Saccharomyces cerevisiae S288C: one gene and its partners. The protein of the gene in region 3 interacts with the protein of the main gene of each other region in a pairwise test. Each region holds a gene or a part of one and is shown on either strand. Other genes may lie near its edges.

Region 1 (5,204 bases), on a different chromosome or scaffold from region 3:
TAGTAAATTCGAATCAGACATGGCTAATCCAAAGAAGTCCTGTAAAGATTTTAGACGTCTTTCGTAGTTCGGTAAATGTACTTCGGTGAACATACCATTTTCTTCTGGTTGTTGATCGAATTCAGTGATCAACTGCCCCAGTTTAATAGTATAATACTTTGATGATTGAGTGACCATATCAAGTCTTTCGTGCACTATACCGCGAGGTATATCAGAAACCAATGAAGCTATTTCAATTGGTTTCTTCGGTAGCCCGACAAACCTGAAGTTCCGAATCACCATAAATTTGTTTATTCTTGGGCGTATTTTTTCTAGTAAATCAACTGACAAGGCCTTTAGGGACCATTTTTGATGCGACAGTTTTTTCTTATTTACATCCTTCAAAACAGTTTGAGATAAAAGACGTATTGTCGATACTGAATTTTGTAAACAGTAAAGAAAAGACTTTAGGATTGAATCACTTACTGTTTTGTAGTACTGTTCAGCTTCATACACGGCAGGTAAACCTTGGACGCATTCGTTGGTCACAGAATAGTAGCACAATAATATAATGTACTCAAATATGGCTTGGCTAACAAGATATTGCAAATCTCCGTCTTCAAAGGATGAGGGATCAGCAATGTCCTTGCAAATATTGTATAGCAAATCAAAAGGCACCGAACAATAAGAGTCAATATTGTCAGTTTTGATTGAAATGCAGATTTTTTCAACAATTGACCTGATCAATTGTAATTGATCTTGTAACCTACTTAGTTCTTCATTTTCCTCACGTACGTCTTGAATCAATTGTTGCTGTGAATCAAATGCAACCTCTCGTAGTGATTCCTCTAATGAATGACTTATCTCTTCAAAAGATTTCAAAATACGCCTATTGATGATCATTTAAGAATATTAATTAAGGAACCTGCAATTTTGCAATAGGACTATTTTGTTGACTTTGTTGTTATTACTAAGTTTTAAAGTGGAAAAGAATTCCGACCCTTTGTTTAGTGAGTGGGGGTCAATCAAATTCGTATTCCTCGGTCAAATGAGGAGGAATGTAAAAACCGAAAATAAAGTCATCGCATAGGTACAAGAAGAATGAACTTGAGAAGTTCAAATTTCTAATTCAATTTTTTTTTTTTTCTATACATATAAATTAATAAAGTTACTCACGGTTTGAAGGTCAATCAATATATTTGTTTAGGATAGCAATAGATAAAAGAACAATAGAGAAAGAATGTAAAATACGTAAAAATATATGTACATTACTGTCGGATAATGGTTTGAATGCATGTTTGATATGTTTGCTTATGTTTGCTTATGTTTGCTTATGTTTTTATCATTACTACTACTATAATTTTTCATTATTATGCTCGATTCGTAAAATCGTTACTCTTATTCAATACTATCTATGGAATAATCCTTCTTGGATAACTTATGTCTCAAACCTTTGCCCCAGTAAGAAAATGCAAAAGGTAAAGCAATCATAGCAGTGGAGATGAAAGCCAACAACCAAGAACCCCAGTGCAGATTCAATTTGTGGTACATTTGAATGGTAAACAAGGGGAAGGCAGCACCACCGGCGGATCTTAAGAAAACCTTTGTAGCCAGAGCACTGGATGCGTATTGGACGTAGCAATCAATAATGTAATTATTCAATGAATAATAAATCAACACCATACCGAAACCAAAAGCTAAACCAGCTGAAGCTGGACCAACCCAAATAATATGTTTATAAGCGGTAGCACCCAGGATCCATAAAGCAATTGCAGCAAATGGAGCACCGATCTTAGCACCTAGCAAACGATCTTCAGGAGTAGGTTTACGCTGTTTGACAATTTGTAAATACTTGTTTTCACAGTAGAAAGTTGTGGCTAACGCCCAAAGAGCACCGATAACAATAGGAATAAACATCAAACCCACAAGGTTGTCTTTGTAGCCATATAGTTCACCGAAAATGACAGGGAAGGCAAAGAAGAACGCATATAGTAGAGAGTAAATCAAACACACGTAGAAACAAGTAGCAACTAGAACAGGTTCAGTGACAGAGAAGTACAAAGGTCTCAACAGACAAGCCCTCATCATTTCACCCATACTGACACCTTGCGCTTCCTGCTCAGTCATAATCTTGGGATTACCAGTTTCCTTTCTTAATCTAGCAGCCTTTCTCTTCAAGATAACTGGAGCGTACGTTTCTGGGATGGCAGAAGATATGATCCACATAACACCTGCAAAGGCCATATTGACCCAGAAAATCAGGTCCATACGTCCGGTAGAAACGGAAATAAAACCGTTAACTAGTGGACCAACAACGGGACCAACGTAAGGAGCAAAAGCGAAGAAAGCAATAGCCTTACCTCTTGTTTCACTTGGGAACATATCGGCAATAGACCCACCAACTAAACACAAACCAGATGATGACCAAACACCACATAAAAATCTACAAGCTAAAAGACTACCTAGATTTGGAGCTAAGGCGCAAGGGATATTGAAGATGACATAAAGACCCATAGAAACAAAGTAAGCAACTCTTCTACCGTAAAGATCACTAACAGGAGACCAAATCAAAGGACCCAGCGAGAACCCAATAACCATTAAAGAAACCGATAAAATAGCGGCTTCCATACCTACATGGTATTTCTTTTCAACGGTTCCCAACCCACCACTGATACAAGCAGACCCGTAGGCGACACAAATAACTAAGATTGACAGTAGGACAGTGTAACTCCAACGGATCCATGCAGGCCAGTTATGGGGGTTTTCTGGATCGCCAGTCACAAAGGTAACGAATTCAATTTCCGGATCTAGATCTGGAGCTTCGTCATTCGCACCACTAGAGTCGCCTTCTTTACCCTTTTCGTTATTATCACTTTCTAAAGCATCTTCATTAGAAGAAGGCGAAGAAGCGCCATCGATCTGTCTAGTTCTCGTACGGGAAATCGCAGTAGAAGTTCTACCTATGGAATGTAGAGTGGCGACAGGAACTAAACCTGTAGGGGTTTCTAAAGTATATTCTTCAGGAAAAATCTTATTCTTGCTAGATTGAGGAGCATTAACATCAGGAACGGGGGCTTTGGAGCTCACACCCATGTCCTGCAATGACTTCACGGTTTCCGTCCGGGTCAACTTCAGTTGATTAGGAGCCATGTTGGATTTAGATCCACTCTCTGAAGGGATATATTGTTGCGGCTGCTGACTTTCTACATCAGACAACGAAGATGTTTCGTCTGAATTAAACGAATTTATGGATTCCTGTCTGTTCATTTCTGTTTATCTTTGGCTAGAGGAGTACTAATGCAAAATTAAAATAATGAAGTAAGAAGGGAGAAAGTAATTAGTTATATTAGAAAACTAGACCACGAAATTTGTAGTATAATTATGGGTATGACAATTAAAGAATTAGGGTGAACGCTACCGGTGAGGACAAAAAAGGCTGAACGAAGAAGAAAAATAAAAAGAAGATTAGATCAACGCACCTAGACGAAAAAGAGCAAATACTGCTTATTGTATTCACTTTGGAGAACAGGTTGTAACAGGACAGCTGACAATTGCTAAGTTAAGTAGATTACAAAGACAAATGTTCTTAGGCGAAAAGAATATATAAACTAAAAGAAAAAGTGGAAAAAGGGTACGTGTAAAAAGAGACTAGGATGGTTGAGCAGCGAATGATTGCAAGATATATAAAAGAAACGAGCCAGTTTTACAGCGTTTAACGCAGATCCAGAATATGAACAAAATGCATTAGGAAATAAATGAAAAAAATGGCTCTATGGATCAGGGATCATCATGGCTGCCGGAAACTACGCCGTTCTGTTTTGTTTTTGTTTTTCCTTTTTCCCGTTTGGGTGAAATCAGTGAGCTGTTCCGATCCGTTGGGCGAAGACATTGCCGCAGTGACGAAGCCCGGCTAGTCCGATTGGGCTCCAGTAAACCCCTCGCCAAGCACAGAGAAGCTAGTCAGAGGCCCGCTAGACTGTACTTACTGGTCTTTAGCACACGACGACCGTACTTTGCACGTGGCTGCAGACACATTTTGTATGGAGGGAATGCTTGATTATATAAAGAGCTCTGTTTTTATGTTACCCGTCCAACGTTCTCACCCGGCTCCGCGCTATTTTTTTTTTTTTTTTTTTTTTTTTTCAGACCCACACAAAATCCGCGTAGCCGAGATTGCTTATGTATGTTATCATATTGCCTGTTTGAGATATGCAGGATCAGCATAGCATGTCTCTAACCAAATTGTGGGTCAGTCAATTATGTTGCTCTTTTGGGTATACGCTTTCACCGGATTCTCGAGAAATCGTATAATGCATGCCCCAAAGCAGTGGCCGTTCTCGGAAAAATAAAAATAGTTTATATCTCAATTTAGTTATATGGCTATGACGGAAACGACAAAATCAAATTGAAACTTAGAAAAAATAAAAAACAGCGCATTATTAAGGTTTCATGACTCCGTATTCGCTGTCCTACGTGTAAATAGGAAGAAGAAAAAAGTGAAAAAGGAAGAACCCTTCTTTTGAAGGAAAGCATAACTCGTTACTCATACGACGGATGCGAGATATACTCTCTACGTAGTTGTACTAGCCGAATGAAAAAAGAGAAAGTTCCGAATATGTAAAATTGAAATTTCTCTTCTTTATAATAGAACTAACAATTGAACTTTCCTTTTCTTTTGAAGCTACCGTCAATGACAAAGAAGGCAGCTTTGATAAAGTACTCAATAGGTAAAGCAAACTTCAATTCAGTTAGCGAATGCATTGCGTACTAGCGCGAATATTGTTATGGTTCTTAATAGTAGATCTAAGCGTCATACGGGCGCTTGTCCTTCCACCATTGAAAGATTATGATCCGTTAGAGCCTTTGATGAAAAGAGACATGGCCATGGGTCAACGGAACAGATTCAAAGTCGACGGCCAATTGCCGCCCATACTAAATTCCACAGATGTGACAGATGATCAGAGAAGTCTGCATACGCCTGGAGAGATTCCATCTTATGTCATCAATCATTGTCCCTTAGTGCACTTGTATAGCGAAGAGAAATATTGGCCATCGGACATTGCTGAGTACGTTCAAAACTTCCAAATTAAAGATAAAAACGGCAATTCTATATCCACTCATGAAAATTTGACACTGCATGACTTGAAGGCGGAATACCACGTAGATTTATTTGGCAACAAAACGGAAACGCATATCCCCAGTAGCGAGGTATTTTTAACCAGTTT
Region 2 (4,030 bases), on a different chromosome or scaffold from region 3:
ATCCTCGAGGGAGAACTTCTAGTATATTTTGTACCCCTAATATTAACACCGAATCGACAATGAAATAAACGGAATAGCGCAATTTCTGCAAATTTTTACAGTTCATCAACAAGATACATATCTTTCATGACAGCTCCTAAAACGACTCTCATGAATGGTAGTACACCTCACGAAAAAGCGTACCAAAACCGCACACAATAAACGGACTCGAACTGTTATGATCTCGTATTTTCTTGTGCCCCGGGTCTTACTTCGTCGTGAGGGTGGATGAGCCATCACAATGGGCATTTAGCGTTTTGGTGCAAGAGCGGGAAGAGGGGCGGCAGTTGGTTGCAATACCAAAAGCAAGTGACTCACTACGGTCCGATATTATCTTGCCCTTTCCATTCTCATACGTATGTTTTTTTAGATTATGCACCTTCTTTGCCACAGTAAATGTGGCGGGGAAGATGTTGAGCTAGCGCCGTGCACAGTGGAAGAGACGGAGGCGATTGTGGGGTTTCATCGGATTGTGCGGGAAGAAGGCCTACACCGTGTTGAGCCACCCCCCCCTCAGGAGTAAATTTACACAAACAGTGGTGGTGCCTATGGTGGTATACGAGATAGTGATAGAAGCTGCTGGATTGGGGTAGAAATTTTGTAGGCGTTTATGGATATGGTATGGATATGGTATGGCTTGAGGTAGGTAATCCAGACACCACTGGAAATATATATAAGGAGAGAGTTCTGGCAGGTAGATTTGTACTCCTCTCTACCACTTTCTTCTACTCCTTTTATTATGTAATGTTTATTATAAGCACAGCAAAAACGTTAAATAAATCTAATAAGATTTCATTATAACATAACATTAAAGCACACAAATTTCTAACACAAACACAATTCAAACATGACCAGAACTAGCAAATGGACAGTCCACGAAGCAAAGTCTAACCCAAAGTATTTCACCCATAACGGCAACTTTGGGGAGTCTCCCAACCACGTCAAGAGAGGAGGCTATGGGAAAGGCAATTGGGGCAAGCCTGGCGATGAGATTAATGACTTAATCGATTCTGGCGAAATTAAGACAGTCTTCAACAAGACCAGAAGGGGCTCTAACTCCCAAAACAATGAAAGAAGGCTTTCTGATTTGCAACAATACCACATCTAACCGACCCGACCGGTTTGATTCCGTTAGCATATTTCAAAGAAACGGGCCTTTTAATGATTTAACGACCATATAACTTCAATAACGTGTATGCATATATAAAATGATCATGTCAAACATCCTTTATATTACTTCTTAAATACATGTTTACGATAAAAAATAAAATTTACATTATAAGTTTTTGATTGCCCATATTTGTTGATAAGAATGTAGCCTTACCGTGGCCGGTTTGTTCACCTGTAACCTCTTTGGGGGCGACCGTTAGTACTGCGCGTGTATGCTGGTGCAGGTGGAGCTGTCACAGGCGGTCTGTTATACATTTTACTATTATTTCTGTTTCCATTCACATTTTTGTTGCCACCAACTACTGGAGGTGCAGTATTGGCATTGGAATGTTTCTCATTTTCTTCTTTTTGATGCATGAGCTCCGCTTGCTTTCTTTCCAATGCCCTTTTTCCAACAAAATTGTAAACTATAGCTGCGTTTCTCGTGGAACATGCGTGCAACCATGCAAAAACACTTCCCAGAATAGGAACTAAACTAATAAGTAAATCGATAACGATATTACCATGCATCTTCACCTTGATTTCCGCAGGCAATTTATACCTGTCATCTGCCAATTCAATCAACTTATCATGCACCCAATACATCAATAAGGGTCCTATAACCGGTAGAAGTGCAAGTAATGGTGCCCATCCTATAGTGTTTGTCCAGCAACAGCATCCGCACAGTGATTTGTCATGCAGCCAGGCTTTGTTTTGGACCTTTTTCCACGCTTTACTTTCATCCTTAGTGCAATAATATGGCAGTCTGCGGCGGTGCTTTTTACCATCTTTATTCGTTTCATAAAACGGATCCCTGGTTGGCTGGAAATGCTGTTCTGCGAACTCTTGATATTGATCTTCTAAGTAATCTTGGCCTAGACCAAGCAACGTGCTCTTAATGAACCCTGACATTTGATATGGTTTCCCCCTTATTTTACTTGATGATATTGCTCCCAGCAGATCCAAGATTTATTTTCAAGTGCTCTTGTCTCACGTATACTACGACTTCTATGAAACAAATATATGAGTAGGGAACTGAACAAAAAAGCAAATTCTTCCAATGCTCTCTAGCTCGCAGTCATGTTATGATCTCATAATCACGTCCCATTCCCGGCTTCTACGCATTTTTCCACGTATTAGCGCGATTTAAAAAAAGAAAATAGAAACAAATAGCAATAAACAAAAAGAAAAGTAACGCTATTACATCCACATGTCACAACTACTTTGTGAAGTTGCAATGCGTGATTAGTATTATAAAACATCATAGCCTTGCCAAATAAACTCGCTTCCCAGAAAAGACGCCAAATTAACTGCCGCTGTTATGTGACAAAACAGGGCATCTCACATATTCGCGTACTGGTGTTCTTTTAGCTCATTCCGATATTATTCCAAGACGGAATTTTCATCTAGAGAAAATGCATCCGTGCATTTTCATAAACCCACACAATTAAAATGCCTTGCGAAAAGGAGGACTCGTCCGTGCAACTGTTGAAAAAAATAGACGGAGCATCATACGTTCGAGTGGAAAATTATGGAGAGTTTTCCAAGCTCTATGGCATGTAGAGTCGTGATTGCTGCTGTACGCTTTTGCACAATATTGAATCTTCAATCTAAAGAATTAAATTTTCTAATTTCAATGTAGAAATATTTCAACTGTTAGTTTTTTATTTCAGGTTGAATATAGTACGACAAAATATCAAGGAAAAATGGCTAGAGAAATCACCGACATCAAACAATTTTTGGAATTGACCAGAAGAGCTGACGTTAAGACCGCCACTGTTAAGATTAACAAAAAATTGAACAAGGCCGGTAAGCCATTCAGACAAACCAAGTTCAAGGTTAGAGGCTCTTCTTCTTTGTACACTTTGGTTATCAACGATGCTGGTAAGGCTAAGAAATTGATCCAATCTTTGCCACCAACTTTGAAGGTTAACAGATTATAAGAAAAATAAGGAATGATCGGAGTGTTATCATAACGAGACTGGAACAAAAAAAACTAAGAATACTTTCCCATCCGCATAAAGAATAATATCCATTTGTGTTCGTTATACAGGAAGTAGAAATAGGCTTTATAACTTTTTTTGTTTTTGTTTCCTTTTGTTTTTCTTACTACTCATAAACATATTTTTTAATTTTTAAAGTCATAACGTTGTATAGTTAATAAAAAAAATTGGATTACTATTCATTGAAGAAGAGAGTTCTATACGTTCTTTTTTAAGTTTATTTAAAGGGAGTTACCATTTGTGTAATAAAGTAAATTAGAGATTATATTATGTAAAGGTAAAAACGGGAGCGAGCATCATACGGCCTTCTTGCTATCGCGACCAATGGTTGGATTTGATTGCTCTTTCTCTTCAGTATCATCTAATACTTTTGCCAGTCGATCTCTTGCCCTAGATTTTAAAACTTCTTCATCGGTCGAGGAAATTCTTTCAAACTCGCCTTCGTTGATGTTTGATGCTTCGGCAAATTCTTTTGTCTCTTCTGTTGTAGGCTCTCCTACTTTTTTCGCATTATCTTTCTCTTGCTTGTTGCTCCCAAGCTCTTGCTCAGCGGTTAAACCATTCGTGCTGTTTTCTTCAACCTTTTGTTCAATGGCAGAATTTCTATTCGAATTTATCACGCTTTCATCAAAGTCAGAAGTTTTGACCAATTCTGCGGTTCTTACCCATCTTCTTCTTCTTGTATATTTAGAAAAGGAATCTTCTTTACTTGGTTTTTTCCAGGTATTGTCGTAATATATAAATCCCTCGTCAGGGGAGGGATCTGCGGAAGTTCTTGCCTTTGAATTGGGCACTTGAATGGCACCGTCATTAGTCATGTCTAGCCTCCATGTCTTGTC
Region 3 (4,976 bases):
TTCTTCCTCATCTGATAACTGTTTAAGATGCTTTTTGCTGCCGTTTTGGTTCAAATCCTCGTGCAAGCCATCAAGCAAAAATTGACAAAATTCTTGACAATCTTGCTGCATTGAATCACTATACATGGGGTTGATATGGCCGCAAATTTTTTTAAACTGAATAGTCTGAACTGGTATCGTTCTTACGTTAGGAGGTGTGAATGCACCGTGTCTGTGCATATTATTGACCAAGATGGCGAAATTTTTAGCTAGCAACCCCTTAGAACCTCTTGAACTATCAAAATTAATAAAATTCAGATATGTGTTATCCAAAAACATTCGAACCAAATCGTGTGTTCCCACCAAACATTGAAGTATACAGTTCATATAACAACAGTTACCTATATTTTCCAATCCTACTATAAGATCTAGATCAAGCACTTGTGAGTTGTTTAGGATGGTCTGCCTCGACGAAGACAAGTTCTGTTGTGGTAAAGGCGGAATACGTGGCGAGAATACATTCGATGCAGGGGGCAAATAGGCATGGGCTTGTGCAGCGCGGATATCTGGCGATATTCTTTCCACAGTGTTTGCTTTATTTTGAATGGTCGAGGGTGTATTGAGTTTTGAGAGAGTGGTTGGTGGATGTGGACTAAATTTTTGAACGGTGGGAGAATTTCTGTTGGGGCTTGGTTGCGGTATAATGGGCAAATCTGAATAGTATAAGGGTAATTGAGGCCTTTGCACCGTTGTTAGCAAAGGCTGCGTATTCATGGATACCATCGGCATACTCTTATCTTTATTTGGAGATAGAGATTTCTGATTGAACAAGCCTGTTGGGACTTGCGGACTACCAAAAGCTGGCGTTGAAGACGAGGATGTAAGATGCGCTGTTTCACTGACAGATGATTGATACGCCCCACCTAATTTAACCCAGTTTGAGAACCCATTTTCCAAAATGAGTATTTTCGTCCCACTCAGCGGTTTAATTACTGAATTTTGGGAAAGAATCTTCGCAAGGATGCGAGTTTGCCTTTGCTGGAAATTATTATGCAATTGAGTGTCAGTATATAAAATAATGAACTTGAACTTGTCTCGATTTGAAAAGAAAGTGATATCTGAGTGCGGCGAAGTGATCAAAGAGACACTTTCAATTTGTTGGTCTGTAAAAGAATCCTTAAATGAGGCAGGATCGATGCATATAATGTTTTTGCATTTGATATGGGCCCTAACGAATTCAGACCTGGGCCGTACATCGATAAGCAAGAGAGCGTCACCATGAAAATGCAACATTGAACTTAATTTTCCAGGCTCTATAGTTTGCAACTGTATAAATTTAGGGTAATTTTCAATGACATTTCGAATCCGCTCAATATTTGGGTCATTATGCAAAAGCTGGATTCTCTCCCCGTACAAATTTCTAACATTCTGGTCCTTGTTGCTCGAAAATTCCTTTAGTCTTGGTAGAGTATCCTCCAAGAGCGTATATACGATCATGTAATATAAAAAAGCTGTTTCATTCAATCGGAGAAACCCCTTTGACAACCGGTTTGCATCTTCTTTAGGGGCCTGCATGGTTATATCCTGGCATGCGTCCACATAACTAGACCATATTTCTGCGCATTCTTGGAGCAAAGGCAGACACTCTTGTGGCACGTCGTCATCATCAAGAAACTTCTGAACTAAATGCCTAAGCCTGCCGAACCGCTCTTTAGCAGATTCGACAACCTCACTTAAGGCTTGTTCTGAGCCCATTACGCTTGTGCCTATTTGTGTAGAGAGATAATAAAGAAAGGACTCCACATACGTTGGAGAATACCTAGCAACTAAATATAGCTGGTGTTTACTTGATGTGTTGAAGTGAGGCGCAAGGAAAAAAGAAAAAAAATCAATGCCCGGTAGATCAATTGGACCAGGGGTTCTTGTTTTGCGACGCCGTACAGACAAGGCCAACTTTATAAAAACGATATTAGAAATTATTGTATATATGTATATAAATGTAGTATTTTTATCAACAGAAAATAGGTGGAAAACTCCCACCCTGTGCTAGACTTCATTCAAAGAGAGTCGGCTTTAACGTGGAGGACTTCCTTGTCTGTGGCGACGTTTTGAGACGAGGAATGACTGGTAGTTTGCTCGGGAAGTTCGTAGTTCTCTTGCACATTGATCTCACCATCTTCATTGAAGTTGATGTTCTCCATCTTGGCAAACAGTTGTCTCTTTTGCTCTTCCGTCAACTCCTGCTTTTTCTTGTTCTTGATCCAGTATCCTGGGTTCAAGTGTTTCAATTGTAAGTTTTTGGTGAAAGGCAAGTGACCACGCCTTTCTTCGAATATCATTAAACTCAACACAATGATAAGAACCAACCAATAGATGTTGTAACAAAGCATGGATGACAAGTAGCCGGTGTTCTGCCATCCAAGCAAAGCATTGAAGATATCCCACCCATTGTCCAGTTCTGGGTTGCAACAATTGACATGGTAAACGGCCTTTCTGATGTTATAAGACCCATTACCATCACCGCCTTCGGAAGCATCACCACCACTGGCAAGGTTGAATCTGTAATTTTCAAAGTACCACGCACCACGAGAGAAAAGACCGGCGGAGATCAGGTACAAGATCGAAGTAGACAAAATCAAGAAAATCTGCAGCGAGGATTTCGAAGCACCATAGTACAACAAATACCCAACAAGACCACCACATATCAAACCAACCACAACGGGCAATGGGTAAGCAGAGGCGTGCGAGCCCTGTGTGGTAATACCTGCACCGGCAACGAACACAACAGCTTCCAAACCTTCTCTCAAGACAGTAATAAACGGCAAAAGGAACATAGCATATCTTCTACTCAAGAACCCAATCTTGAAATAGTCTCTCTTACGGTGAGGAATCTCCACCAACGACCGCGCAATCTTCACTCTCCACTTACTCTGCATCTTATTCATTCTCAACATAGGAATACCCATCATCGAGATCATTATCGTCGCAATCATACAAAAGATACCTTCCCACAAGTCTTCCGCGCTTCCGAAAATATCCTTCTGCAGCGAATAGTACGCACCGATGAAACCTGCACCGATGGCCAGACAAATGATGAACCCGAGTAACACACCGACCCAAACCTGAATCCTTAATTTACGGTACAGCGCCCGGTCATGTTCCCCGATTGCCTGTTTCAAAAACGATAGCAGCACGGAAATAACAATCACTGCTTCCAAGCACTCTCTGAACACAACGAAGAAAACGGCCACGTTAAACACTTTGTTAGGCATGGCGGGAAGTATATGTGTGATGACCTGCTGAGAGAAGATTTCGACAACGTACAATCCGTCGTGTTATGTATTTTTTTGCTCACATTGAGCATTTTATATAACTAAAAGCTCAAGGTCGAACTACAGCCCATCGCTTCCACCGGGCCTTGCAACACCAACTTAGAAATCGGGTGCATTCATCTACGCTGTGCAGAGAATGAAATGCGCACCTTCTTACTGCTGCGACGGTGCTCGGCACGGCTTACGCGGGCGGGGGAAGGAAATAGCGGCCTGGCGTGAGTCGGCAGTCAGCGGCGGGCTCACTGTACTCGCTCGTTTAATGCACCAGCAGTATTCGCGCACTTAATAATAGTATTTCTGCACCCTGGCCTGGAAAGAATGCTCGATGCGCCCTGGTTGATTGGCGCAGAGCGTGTGTCAGTGCCGGACCCGATTTCTTTTTTTCTACACGTTGGTCTGATGTCTCAGGAGTTAGTAGTGACCGTGGTCAAGAAAAAAACAGGACGAAAAATTGTTGAGAACGTATACGTATATTGTATTCTTCTTTTTTTTCTTTGCTGCCCTTTTATTATCTATTTCATTTTTTAACCAGAGGCAATCGTAAGAGAGAGATAATATAGCCCTTTTTGGTCTTTTTTGGCACCTTCAGCCGGACCCTGCTCTTTTATTACCCGGATGCTCGGGTTTTGTCTTTGCATCCGGGTAGCAAAACAGAATACTTGCTTTCTTATTGAAGTAGAAAAAATACAGAGAAAGCGAAAAAGGCTTCCTTGGCGGATAGATGGTCTCACAACAAGCATAGCGTATACACGTGCACTCACAAGCATACACAGAAGCGCGCAAAATGAGTCTACCGGAGATTTTGCCTTTGGAAGTCATAGATAAAACAATTAACCAGAAAGTGTTGATTGTGCTGCAGTCGAACCGCGAGTTCGAGGGCACGTTAGTTGGTTTCGACGACTTCGTCAACGTTATACTGGAAGACGCTGTCGAGTGGCTTATCGATCCTGAGGACGAGAGCAGAAATGAGAAAGTTATGCAGCACCATGGCAGAATGCTTTTAAGCGGCAACAATATTGCCATCCTTGTGCCAGGCGGCAAAAAGACCCCTACGGAGGCGTTGTAAAAAGGCAAAAATTAACGCGAATTTGTATAGTGCATCTAAAAAAAATAATTAAGTATAAAAATAGATAAAGGAAATCAAGTGTTTCTTTTTTTTTTTTTGGTTTATTGTTTGACACTGGTGATTTGCTTAACCAGCGCCTCCAGCTTCGCGTTCGTGAGAGCGACGTCTTTTCCCCGCATCGCCACCGTACAATTCATTAAATGCCATATTCCGATCACGTATTGGACCTTGCGCATGCCGCCCTGCTGGCGGCACATATCGAAACACTTTGCTGAAATCGCATAGATCTCGCCCAGATCGTGTTCGAGCATTCGACCGCCTAAGTAGTTTACCAGTATTTGCAGCAACAGAGCCTTCTTCAATTTGAAGCGGTTGTCCGCAACGGCTTCTCCGGCAACGAACTTGTTGCTAGAGTAGAACTCGCGGAGCTTCGACACGTACTCGGCGCGCTGCTTGTCACTACATGGCAGCGGGTTCCAACTGAACGGCTCGAAATGGCTGAAAAGCCATAGGATCGTTACTGTGCACTCCCATATGGGGTTGAACTGCAGATCCGTTTCTTGTAGCAATTTCTCCACCTGAAGCCACACCTTGTTGCA

The links. Proteins that work in one complex are often made in the same cells at the same time.
Region 1: the proteins of FTR1 (region 3) and TPO3 interact in a protein complementation assay, tested with the Saccharomyces cerevisiae proteins (one large-scale study listed by BioGRID).
Region 2: the proteins of FTR1 (region 3) and YLR326W interact in a protein complementation assay, tested with the Saccharomyces cerevisiae proteins (2 studies listed by BioGRID).

Annotation. Positions count from the first base shown.
Region 1 is NC_001148.4:836,532-841,735, forward strand, and holds TPO3 (spermine transporter), read right to left. Parts: upstream 3,247-5,204; coding exon 1,378-3,246; downstream 1-1,377. Other genes in the region: NCA2 (Nca2p), read right to left, coding at 1-882; TDA6 (Tda6p), read left to right, coding at 4,735-5,204. UniProt on the Saccharomyces cerevisiae protein: Cell membrane polyamine/proton antiporter, involved in the detoxification of excess polyamines in the cytoplasm. Recognizes spermine, but not spermidine.
Region 2 is NC_001144.5:780,244-784,273, reverse strand, and holds YLR326W (uncharacterized protein), read right to left. Parts: upstream 2,101-4,030; coding exon 1,378-2,100; downstream 1-1,377. Other genes in the region: TMA10 (Tma10p), read left to right, coding at 887-1,147; 60S ribosomal protein eL38 RPL38, read left to right, coding at 2,895-3,131; PEX30 (peroxisome biogenesis protein), read right to left, coding at 3,488-4,030.
Region 3 is NC_001137.3:458,490-463,465, forward strand, and holds FTR1 (high-affinity iron permease FTR1), read right to left. Parts: upstream 3,252-4,976; coding exon 2,037-3,251; downstream 1-2,036. Other genes in the region: putative ubiquitin-specific protease UBP5, read right to left, coding at 1-1,734; YER145C-A (uncharacterized protein), read right to left, coding at 3,897-4,334; RNA-binding protein LSM5, read left to right, coding at 4,096-4,377; cohesin-loading factor complex subunit SCC4, read right to left, coding at 4,479-4,976. UniProt on the Saccharomyces cerevisiae protein: Permease for high affinity iron uptake.